Linked DNA regions of Ovis aries. The protein of the gene in region 3 interacts with the protein of the main gene of each other region in a pairwise test. Links are inferred from orthologs where the notes say so. Each region holds a gene or a part of one and is shown on either strand. Other genes may lie near its edges.

What was found. The genes of interacting proteins can lie anywhere in the genome.
Region 1: the proteins of RNF8 (region 3) and TMEM79 interact in binary tests that used the Homo sapiens proteins (3 or more experiments, as listed by UniProt). The two-hybrid records come from large-scale screens. The link is inferred for Ovis aries from reciprocal best matches to the Homo sapiens genes RNF8 and TMEM79.
Region 2: the proteins of RNF8 (region 3) and RBFOX2 interact in binary tests that used the Homo sapiens proteins (3 or more experiments, as listed by UniProt). The two-hybrid records come from large-scale screens. The link is inferred for Ovis aries from reciprocal best matches to the Homo sapiens genes RNF8 and RBFOX2.

Annotation. Positions count from the first base shown.
Region 1 is NC_056054.1:106,292,465-106,296,382, reverse strand, and holds the end of TMEM79 (transmembrane protein 79), read right to left. Parts: intron 2,436-3,918; exon of another isoform or gene 1,503-2,435; coding exon 1,289-1,502; 3' UTR 519-1,288; downstream 1-518.
Region 2 is NC_056056.1:179,577,518-179,581,035, forward strand, and holds part of RBFOX2 (RNA binding protein fox-1 homolog 2), read right to left. Parts: intron 1,775-3,518; coding exon 1,550-1,774; intron 1-1,549. UniProt on the Homo sapiens protein: RNA-binding protein that regulates alternative splicing events by binding to 5'-UGCAUGU-3' elements. Prevents binding of U2AF2 to the 3'-splice site.
Region 3 is NC_056073.1:11,332,325-11,335,842, reverse strand, and holds part of RNF8 (E3 ubiquitin-protein ligase RNF8), read right to left. Parts: intron 3,405-3,518; coding exon 3,297-3,404; intron 1,100-3,296; coding exon 895-1,099; intron 1-894. UniProt on the Homo sapiens protein: E3 ubiquitin-protein ligase that plays a key role in DNA damage signaling via 2 distinct roles: by mediating the 'Lys-63'-linked ubiquitination of histones H2A and H2AX and promoting the recruitment of DNA repair proteins at double-strand breaks (DSBs) sites, and by catalyzing 'Lys-48'-linked ubiquitination to remove target proteins from DNA damage sites.

The DNA.
Region 1 (3,918 bases), on a different chromosome or scaffold from region 3:
TATCTTCCTGTTCGGTAGAACCTCGGATCAGCCTCAACTTCCTGGGGGACCCAGGTGGGGCTTCCTTCCAACTCTGAGGAGGGACCAGACACAGAATGATTGCCAGAGGGAGGGTCCCCTCCGTGTTGCCTCCCTGTTCCTCCACCATCCCATTTCCCTTGAATGGGACTCACAGGCCTAAATGAGAGAGGCCTTCTGACTGTTTGCTGCACTGGAAGGCATGAAATAGAATAGTTTTTTTTTTTTTTTCCACAGGGCTTGTCTCTCAATGTGGTGCATTGTTGGGCAGGTTTGGACCTGGTTCCAGGGAATGAGAGGGCTGGAGGTGGGGCGTGGAAGGCAAGTTCTTTTTGAAGCCCCATTTCCTCATCAGGCTTAGTTCTCTCCCTTGCCATGGGACCAGGCTCCTGCCAGCCACTCTTCAATATGTGGAGCTGGGAGGTTTCTGGTGCAGTTTGAATCAAACAAGGAAGGGACACTTGAGGTTGAGGGGCAAACCCTACGGAAGAGCCAAGAAAGACTGTGGTATTAATCATTTATTATTATATACACATTCAGACGGGTTTAACATCAACCACCATGCTTTCCAACCACTCCCAGCCATGTGCGTGTGGGCATGCACGCACATACACACACACACACACACCTCTTAGGAAGCAGGTTTCCCTGTCTGCTCCTCTTCCCACAGGAGAGAGATGACTGGGCACTTTGGAGGTGCAAAGTTACAGGGACCTAAAGGGTTGGAAGAGAGGAGTCAGCCACTCTGGGCTGGAGCAGCTGTAACTGACTTGGCTGAGGCTAAAGGGCCTAGGAAGGCCAGTCATGGAGGGTCCTGAACCCAGGTCCCCAGAAGGGTTTTCACCAAACAGGAAAGTCCTATTTGATGTGATGCCCAGCCTTTACCTAAGACATAGGCAATGTTTCCAGTCTCTTGGAGGCCCTCTGCTTAGACAGCCAGCACAGAAAAGGTCAGAGTTTCGGCTGTGCTCTGCCAGCTGCCTCAAGCAGGAGGCTGCAGAGTGGGCAGCAGAGTCCAGTCTTTGTGGACCCTGGTGGCAGCAGAGGCTACTAAGGAAGGAACCATGCCTCTGCCCCTGGTCCCATGTCCTCAGCATTCTTAAGGAACATGGCTGTCCACCTCTTTCCCTGAAAGACTGTTTAAGTCCCTCCCACATAATTGTCCCAGGCTCCTAAGATGAAGGGAGCACCCCACACTCTGATTGGATGGCACCCCTGTCGGGGCAGTAGGTGGGTTCATCCCACCCAGGAACGAAGGGGGTGGGGCAGCTCAGCCCCGGGAGCGGGGCCTGTAGTCTGAGGCTGAGCGGGCATGGTCAGGGTAGTCCAGGCGGCTCTCGGAGGCAGTGAGCATGCGTTCAGGCTCCACCACGAACATGTAGTAGAAGTTCCACATCAGCATGGACAGCAGAGGCAGGAACGTCAGGCCGTAGCCAAAGCCTCGGAAGGAGCGGCCCACAGCGAAGGTCAGCCAGTATATGAGCCTGGGAGGCAAGAAAAGGTCGAGCTTTCCTTGAGGGGAGTGCATCAGCTAACAGGTTGATGATAGGGAGAGTGGGAAGTGAGGGAGGCAGATGGGGGTTGGCTGGCACAACTGATACCTCTAAAAACAACCAGTGTTCACGCACTGACGTATGTGCCGGGCACGGTACTAATTACTTTAGGGGCACTATTTAATTTAGACCTCACATCTCTATGAAGCGTGCATATTATTCACCTGCCTCTTTGTATACTTCTCAAATTCGAATTAAAAAGTTTTGAGTAGGCAATATACATTTACACGGTTCAGAATTCAAAGGCACCAGTGAATGTAGTAAAACGTTTTCCTCCACTGATTCCCAGATACTCTGTTCTCTTCTTCACCTCCTCACCTCTATTCTACTCCCACCCCAGACATCATCCATTATTATGGCTTCTCGTATGTCGTGAAGCTTTCTGTGTATATAAGCAAGAAAACTTATGTTTTCCTCCCCTGCCTCTTTTTTTTTTTTTTTTTTTTGAGGTTTGGGAGCATACTATTCCATGGGATCGCAGAGTCAGACATGACTGAGCGACTGAACTGAGCATACTATAGAGACTATTCTGCACATTGACTTTTTCCCCCCATTTAATGCATCTTGGAGATTATGTCATTGTGTGTGTGTGTGTGTGTGTGTGTGTGTGCGCTCAGTTGCTCAGTTGTGTCCGACTCCTTGAGACTCCATGGGCTGTAGCCCACCAGGCTCCTCTGTCCATGGAACTTTCCAGGCAAGAATACTGGAGTGGGTTGCCATTTCCTCCTCCAGGGGATCTCCCCGACCCAGGGATTGAACCCACATCTCCTGCATCTCCCACACTGGCAGGTGGATTCTTTGCCACTGACCCACCTGAGAAGCAATTGTGTCGTATCAGTGTATAAAGAGCTTCATTATTTCGCAGCTACAGTACATTCCATTGTGTTTATTTCCCTTTTTGTAGATGGAGAAACTAAGATTCCAAAAGATTAAGACGGGTCCAACGTCACATATGGGGAAACAGTAAAATCATGATTTGAACCCATGCCTGTTCATCAGCCTCTCTCCTGCCATTTTACAGGGGCTGAGGGAAAGAAGAGAGTAAGGAAGCCAGCTTCAAGAGAGCTTGAGGACCAGAGGGATGAATCAGGCGCAACTAAATTTCCCCTTTTGGAAGATCCATCCAAATATACACACCCCTCAGTGGGAGGAGGGCAGCAGTTTCCTCTTAACTTACAAAGGACCATCTATGACAGAATTGAGATGCCCCTATATTTTTACCTTTGTAATAAAGGGAAGAGTACATGCTGCCAGTAACTTGCCCATAAAGAAGGACCCTGGGTGAGAGAGGGAAGGGACTTGGGTTCTAGTCCTGCCTCTGCTGACAGACCTATGCAACTCTTCTCACCGAGTCTGTAGTTACTTCCTCTCATAGTCATTTTTTCTCTGTAAAATGGGTAAGATGGCCCAGACAACCGCTGGTCCTTTAGCTCCCTGATGATTCTTACTGCTTAAACCAAAGTAAACCAACTTCTTGTCTGAGATCAGCGTTCCCTGAGAAGGAGATGGGAGGTTGAGTTACATGAACAGGAACGTATTAATCTTGGAAAACATCCACGGGAAGAACACGCACGGCTGTATGACGGTCAGGAGACTGGCGGGACAGATGACCATTAGACTACACTTAGAAGTGACAGGAAGACAGATTTCAGCTTAATAGGAAGAATGCTTTAGCAGTTAAAGCCACCTGGAATCCTATATGGAAAATAACAGGGCTTCCCTAGTGGTCCAGTGGTTTGAGGATCCACCTGCCAGTGCAGGGACGCAGGTTCGACCCCTGCTCCAGGATGCTGAAGCATGGTCCTACATGCTGTGGGACCCCTAAGCCCCCGTGCCACAACTACTGAGCCCGTGCCCTAGAGCCTGCGAGCCCCAGTCACTGAGCCCACACGCTGCAACTACTGAAGCTCGCGTGCTTTGAGCCTGTGCTCCGAAACAAACCCACACGCTGCAGCTAGAGAGTAGCCCCCCCTTGCTGCAACTAGAGAAAGCCCTCGCTCAGAAACAAAGACCCAGCTCAGCCATAAATAAATAAATATGATAAATGTATTAGGGGGAAAAAATGGAAAGATCTGCATTTCTGAAAGACTTCAGAAATTCAAGGGTACCTTTCTGGGTTAACATAGTTTACATGAAAATAACCCTGCTGCTGCTGCTGCTAAGTCGCTTCAGTCGTGTCCGACTCTGTGCGACCCCATAGATGGCAGCCCACCTAAGGATCTTCAAATTCTAAATGAAAGGAGAGTAATGAGGCTGCTATGAGACCTGCTGCTGCTAAGTCGCTTCAGTCGTGTCCGACTGTGCGACCCCATAGATGGCAGCCCACCAGGCTCCCCCATCCCTGGGA
Region 2 (3,518 bases), on a different chromosome or scaffold from region 3:
AGTACTTCTGTTAAATCTGTAAGTTCCTCATCATTTGTACGTGATTTGGAAACGCAGCCAATACAGCAGCCTGTGTGTTTTAATTCTAGAATGGACGCTATAGAAAGCCTCATTTGTTACTACCATGCCCACTTTTTGAAGGCTCTTTACAGGGAAGTAAATCTTATCAAGTGATTTACAGATTGAGTTAAGCTCTCCTCCTGATAATCTGATACAGAAAGGCAAAAAGAAAGCTAAAAACTAGAGAGAGATCTTTCTATGCAGAGTACTGGACATTTTTATCTTAGGAAATATACCACACAATTCCACAAACAAAATGATTTCCTGTATGATGTGATAACATACCTACTGTAATTTATGATGCTTCCTTTACTCGCTTACTAAATTAGTAGTAACAGGTAAAGTCAAAGAGGGAGGCTGGGGCCAGGGATTAGTAAACCAAGTACGAGTTTGGATTTTATTCTAAGTATGTTAGAAAACCATTAGAATCAAACAGGGAAATAGCATTATTTGCATTAAGAGGAAAAGGATCTTGGCTGCTATGTGATAAATTAGGCAACAGTAACAGAAAAAGTGAAAAGGTTTGGATTAGAGTGGTGACAATGATGATGAACACCTCACATGAATTAAATTCTTTTAAGTCTCCTAAAAGCCACTTGAAATAGGTGCTACTGTCTTCATCTTGCAGATGAACATGCCAAGGCAGAGAGAGATTAAATAACTGGCCAAAGGGCATACTACTAATTAGAGAAGATATTAGGATTCAGACCTAAAAAATCTGGTGGAAATGCTGAGCTCTTAATTATGGACACTATCCAGCTATGGTCGTAAGATGAAGAGAAGAGGCTGAAGTGAGAAAATGTTCTAGAGTCACGGTGACCACGACTTGCTAATGGATTGGATGCAGAGATGATGGAGACAGAGAAAAAACCATTCATAGGTTTCGCTTGAGCAACTAGGTGATTTAGTAGTATCAGTATGCAACAGAGACAAGATAAAAAACAGGAGGGAAAGGAGTCCTAGGACCCAGCTCTGGAGTAACTACATTTAAAAGCTCAACAGACAAAGACAAACCAGCAAGAAAGACCAAGGAAGGACTTTCAGTGCCTAAGAGGGAAACAGGGAGCGTCATGAAAGCCAACAACTCAAGTGTTTCAAGGAGGATGGAGGAGGCAATGTGTAGAATACTGCTGACAGATTGTGGACAATGAGGACAGAGAAGGACCGTGAGATTTTTGCAGAATGAAGGTTACCCGTAAAGCTGAAAAGAGCAGCATCTTGCTAAGTTAACTCTCATCATCACATTTACCTTGTTTTACTGTCTGTCCCATGTCTAGACTGTAAGCTGCTGGGCATTGACTGTGAGCTTTATTCTAGACCCTTATCTTCTAATTACAGCGCTTGGAGTAGAATGGAAACTACATTAGCGTTATGCAATGTAAGGTACATGCAAAATTAATTCAAAGGGTTTTTGGGTATGATGATTAAGAAGATTTCAAAAGGACGATGACAGGCCTCCTTCTATTTTGCTGCCTCATCACTCACGTACCGTCAGAGATCCGTTCTGTGTGCTGGGTGAGTTGCTGCTCTGCTCCCCGTGGGCTTGCGTGCTTCCGTACAGTGTCAGGTTATGCTCACTGGTCTGGCCGGCATAGTCCTGAGTGTGTGGCACTCCATACTCTGTGGGAATTCCATTCTGTGGAGGTGGTGGAAACGGGATGGTAGTAAAAGGCTGAACCATTGCGTCAGGAGTTGTTGTTGGCTCCTGGTTACCCTGGAACAGAGAAAGAGAAGATAAGACTAACAAAAAAAGTTGACTAGTTACCAAAGGACCAAAGATTTTCCTTTAAACCAAACTTTTTTAAATGCAAGGAAATTTGTTACAGAAGATAAGTTATAAGATTTGAAATTTGTTTGAGCCATTACTGTTTTCGTTAGTACACTCTATTCCTTTAGTGATTCTTAGGGGAAAACAAATTAATTTCACTAAATTATAATTCTTTGTAATTTATTTGTAATTTGTTGTAAACTCCAATACTTTGGCCACCTGATGCAAAGAACTGACTCATTTGAAAAGACCCTGATGCTGTGAAAAGACTGAAAGCAAGAGGAGAAGGGGACGACAGAGGATGAAATGGTTGGATGGCATCACCGACTTAATGGACATGAGGTTGAGCAAGCTCTGGGAGTTGGTGATGGACAGGGAAGCCTGGTGTGCTGCAGTCTATGGGGTCGCAAAGAGTTGGACATGACTGAGTGACTGAACTGAAATTACAATTCATAGCAACAGGTAGAATGACAGTATAAATTAAATTCTCAAAACCAGATGATATATACCTCTAGATTTTAAGAACACAGAGTTCAGGAGAAAGTACATTTTTGACAAAATTAATCTTTGAATTTCAAGGTAGAGATTTAGTTAAGTCTTGGCCACTAGGTTAATTAAAAAAAAAAAACAAAAAAACAAAACCTTTCCTTAAATTAGAAACTAGACAAAAAAATTTCCTAGACGAAAACCCTGAGTTTTTCATAATTACTGCTAGCATTTCAAGGCTAGCAGGTACTTCTCGACACGGCGTCCATTCCCAGATGCTTACCTGGGATCTCCTGTGCTATCTCAAATATCACTACAGAACATACAGTAACAGCGGGAGCCCGTTAGAAGCCATGTTGACTCCATAGCCCCTGTCTTGTTTCTGTTCAGTCTTTAAGTTCAGATACAAACAAGGAGTTAAATCTTGTGTAAGAGATTTTGTAAAATCCTCCCTCTCAACAACTTACCTTCTGACCTCCCATTTTAGTCCATAAAAGGCAGAGTCATTATTTTACTAAAAACAAACACATTTTCAAAGTCTGGGGCCACTATCCTTTCGGAAATAGCTGAAAGAGATGGTCAAATGCTTCAAAGTGGTAGCACTTTGATAAACCCTCTCCCCCATATTTTAGACATCATATCATTAGGGATCAAAGAAAATCTGGGTTTCAGTCACTTGGATTCCTCCTAGTCATGAGCATCATTTCCTTCCAAACAACATAGTAATTATTCCTCTTTCTTTCTCAGTTATGGTTATCCTTCTTTTCCCTCAATTTAAGAAGGGATTCTCTACCCACTGAGAGCTACAGGAAACTAAACTTCCAGCTGCTGCTGCTGCTGCTGCGTCACTTCAGTTGTGTCCGACTGTGCAACCCCACAGACGGCAGCCCACCAGGCTCCCCCATCCCTGGGATTCTCCAGGCAAGAACACTGGAGTGGGTTGCTATGTCCTTCTCCAATGCATGCAAGTGAAAAGTGAAAGTGAAGTCACTCAGTTGTGTCCGATTCTTAGCAACCCCACGGACTGCAGCCTACCAGGCTCCTCCACCCACGGGATTTTCCAGGCAAGAGTACTGGAGTGGGATGCCATTGCCTTCTCCGAACTTCCAGCAGCACTAACACCATTCCAGGTTTTTAGCATTAATTTGCTGGCCATTAAACTCATACTATTGCAACAAAATGAATCCAAAACTGGAGAAAGATC
Region 3 (3,518 bases):
CCCCAGGTGTGATGAGATCACTTGTGTTAGAGGAGGAGATACTCTCTATGGAAGTATGGTTCCTTGAGGAAACTCACCCACCCTCACTTCCCTAATCTCTTTATTCAAACTCTCTCTGGGAAACTTGTTTATTAGGACACCCAAAGTTAATGTGCTTCCCTGGTGGCTCAGAGGTTAAAGCATCTGCCTGCAATGCGGGAGACCCGGGTTCGGTCCCTGGGTCGGGAAGATCCCCTGGAGAAGGAAATGGCAACCCACTCCAGTATTCTTGCCCGGAGAATCCTATGGAGGGAGGAGCCTGGTGGGCTACAGTCCATGGGGTCACAAAGAGTCTGACACAACTGAGTCAAACTAGTCCTAGTGAAGTTAACATAGTAGGATTAAATTAATCTCTTTTTGGCTTAATGTTATGCCCGATTTGTGTAGTTAAGCTGTGACTCTTACAGATAGAACCTATATATGTTTTCTTCATATGTTTTGGCATTTTCCAAGCTGTGAATCTTTGACTTGTACACATCCTATTTATAATTTATAATTTATTGTGTACCCAACCCAAGATTTCTGCAACCTACCGAGAGCAACAGACAGCAACTAAACTGTCTTGAACGACAGCCCCATCTAGTGACTAACACTGTAAGTTGTCCACCCCTGTGTTTTTCTAATCCCATCTTTTCTTATCCCTTAACTAAGACACAAACACCTAAGCCTCCCCATTCCCTGCTGCTCAAATATTCCATTCTGCCTCAACTGTTCCTTACATGTCTATTACCTTTAGCTTCCTTTACTTTCCCCCATTACTTCCACCTCCTTCTTAAGCTCAAGAACCGTTTACCTGACTCTTCTGGATCCAAAAAAGTCTGTTGAGGGGACTCACCTCTTTCCATACTCACTCACCTTTTCGTTCCCTGATGAGGACAATTCGTCGTTCTTTCGCTTCTGAGTTCAGATTGTCTACCATCTTACTAATGCAATTGTCCAGAACCAGGGAGCGGGTTTTGGACTTGATGTCCTTCCGACAAATGGGGCATTCTACTTTCCTCTTCATCCACTCATTGATACAGTAGGAGCAGAAACTATGGGCACAGTTCAAGGTGACAGCCTATAACGGAAATATGAACACACACATCAGAACTGTGACGCTCACTGCCCCAGGGCCGCTGTGATCTCAGAGTTAGGAAAGCAGTTAGTTCTCAAGACGAAATAGAAATTAAACCATAACTTCATCTAGAGGCCTTACAAAGGGTATCAGAATCATTCCTAGGAACTGTAAATTTTAAGTTTCATGTTAGATTATTTGTTTTCTCTCTCAAAGTTAAGCTCATAAACTCAGGCTCCAGGTAGGCTGATTTGTCTTATTTTGTTCCACCAACTCAATTCACACTGCCAACGTGGCTTAGCTATCCCGCAAATAAATGCCACTGGACTTAAGCAGGACTAGAAAACATGCGCATGTCTGATACACATGCATCACTAATTCTCTCAGGAGAAACAGCTGTATGTCCTAATGGTACAGTAAAACCTCGATTTTAACTCACACAGTGAATACTCAGTACACAGAATGTTAGGAGGCCCTTATCTCTACTCAAAAGAAGCTTTAAAAAGTATACGTAAAAGCACTTAGGCTAGGGAAAAAGAATCTAAAAACAAAATAGGAAAAAATGTAATGGGTTCAGCTGACAGTGCCTTAAGTAATATCAATAAGCCTATGAGAAGAGAGAAAGCAGAAAAGGGCCCGTATCTGAGGTGCTCCTGAGCAACCCCAATGGTCAGCTTTCTGCCAAGGTCCTTATCACTTTTCAAAACATAAACCATACTCTTCGTTTCTCTTGTTTCTCTTGTATCTCCTAAGATACAACTTTTTCTGGAGCTAAAAAGTTTTCTTTCTTGCTTTTGGGAAAGCAGGGGGAAATAACACAAACTTTGTATTATTTTCCAAATGCCAAGTGGAAGCCAGAAGGCCAACTAGGAAACATTCTCAGTAAAGAATGAGACATACTAAAAAAAGAAAAAGTAAAAATAAAGAATGAGACAAAATTCTCATAAACAGGACTAAAAACCTGCTGACTAAAATGAAATCTCTAACCCAACACTGATTTTAAAAGAGGACCAGCAGGGAAGGTCAGCACATGCTGTAAACCAAACAAAGATCAGGTTATTTGTCTCTTACATGTTGTGCAGACGCTCCATGTTGGCTAACTCATCACTTATTCCGACCCCTTTCCTTGTCGTCTTCTATTACGGTGCATAAGTCATGTCGAAACAGTACTAACTGAGTTTCTCCAAAGTAGGGAATCAAATGACTACAAACTATGGGGGAAATTATGATCTGAAGTCAAAGCAGATCCAAAGCAAAAGAAACAGGTCTATCCAGGACAGATTTTTCAGGAGGCTAATAGACCCAATCTCCCTAAAGGCCACCAGAAAAAAAGGAAGCTGTGTGTGTATGCGTTTTCTTTTTAAATGAGTCTGAAAAGCACTATCATTTAACAACTTTAGTCTAACACTTGTTGTGTAAGATGAACTGGACACAAGTGGTAGAATTTGCGAAAATAAGAGAGTTTATGCAAAAAGAAGACAGGATAACAAATGAAATCCTAGGCGTGATGTTTCATTTTCATAAGGAGCCTCCGAGTCCCTGAAAAATGCTCCATTTGGCCACTGAATCCCGTGAGCATACCTCAATGACATTTACCCCCTTGTTCAAAGGCTGCACTGCACGCCCACTCTCAGCACTGTGTCCATTCAGAGCAAAGAAAGACTAGCTTTATTGAGTAGCTTTATTCTGATACTTCAAATTTCTAATGCCATCTAATTCTGGATTCTGCCAGAATCAAATGGATCCCAGGAGTTAAAAAAAAAAAAAAAACCTTCAGGAGCTCAACACTAGGCAAAAAAAAAAACCCCGCAAAACCCACAAAACCCAACAGCTCATAGTTGTCGGCAATGTAGGAAACATATGACATTCTGACCTGTGGGAGGGTGGGGCAGCCCCTAGATGGTTCTTCAAAACCAAAGTGTTTTTCCCTCAACAACAAAAAGATAAAGGCTTTATTATAGCCCCAAACACTGATTCTGCCAAAAAAAGAACTCAAGAACAAATGAAGTAAGAAAAAAGCCAGCGGAGGCAAGTGAGAAGTGGCCACCTCCAGCAGCCACTTTGAAGTCAAATAGCTACAGTAAGTTCCTGGAGGAAAAATCTCTTCAGAATGTTACCCTAGAGCAAAAGCAGTCTGTGTAGCTGAGGCTCCATTCAGGGGTAGGAGAGTGAGAAGGCGTGAGCCACTACTCATCATTACCTCAACGAAGTATTCTGAGCAAATAATACACTGGAGCTCATTCTCTAGCACGTCATTCATGTGGCTAAGAACTTCCTCCTTCTGTGCTTGCACCTTCTCCTTCTCTTCCTGCAAAGACATACAACCCCACCTGTCATTCGGGAGAACTAACAAGAATGCAAAATAGGACAGAGCAGGATTAATAGTATGCAGGAGGATTCAGAAAGAATCTAAATTAAAAAT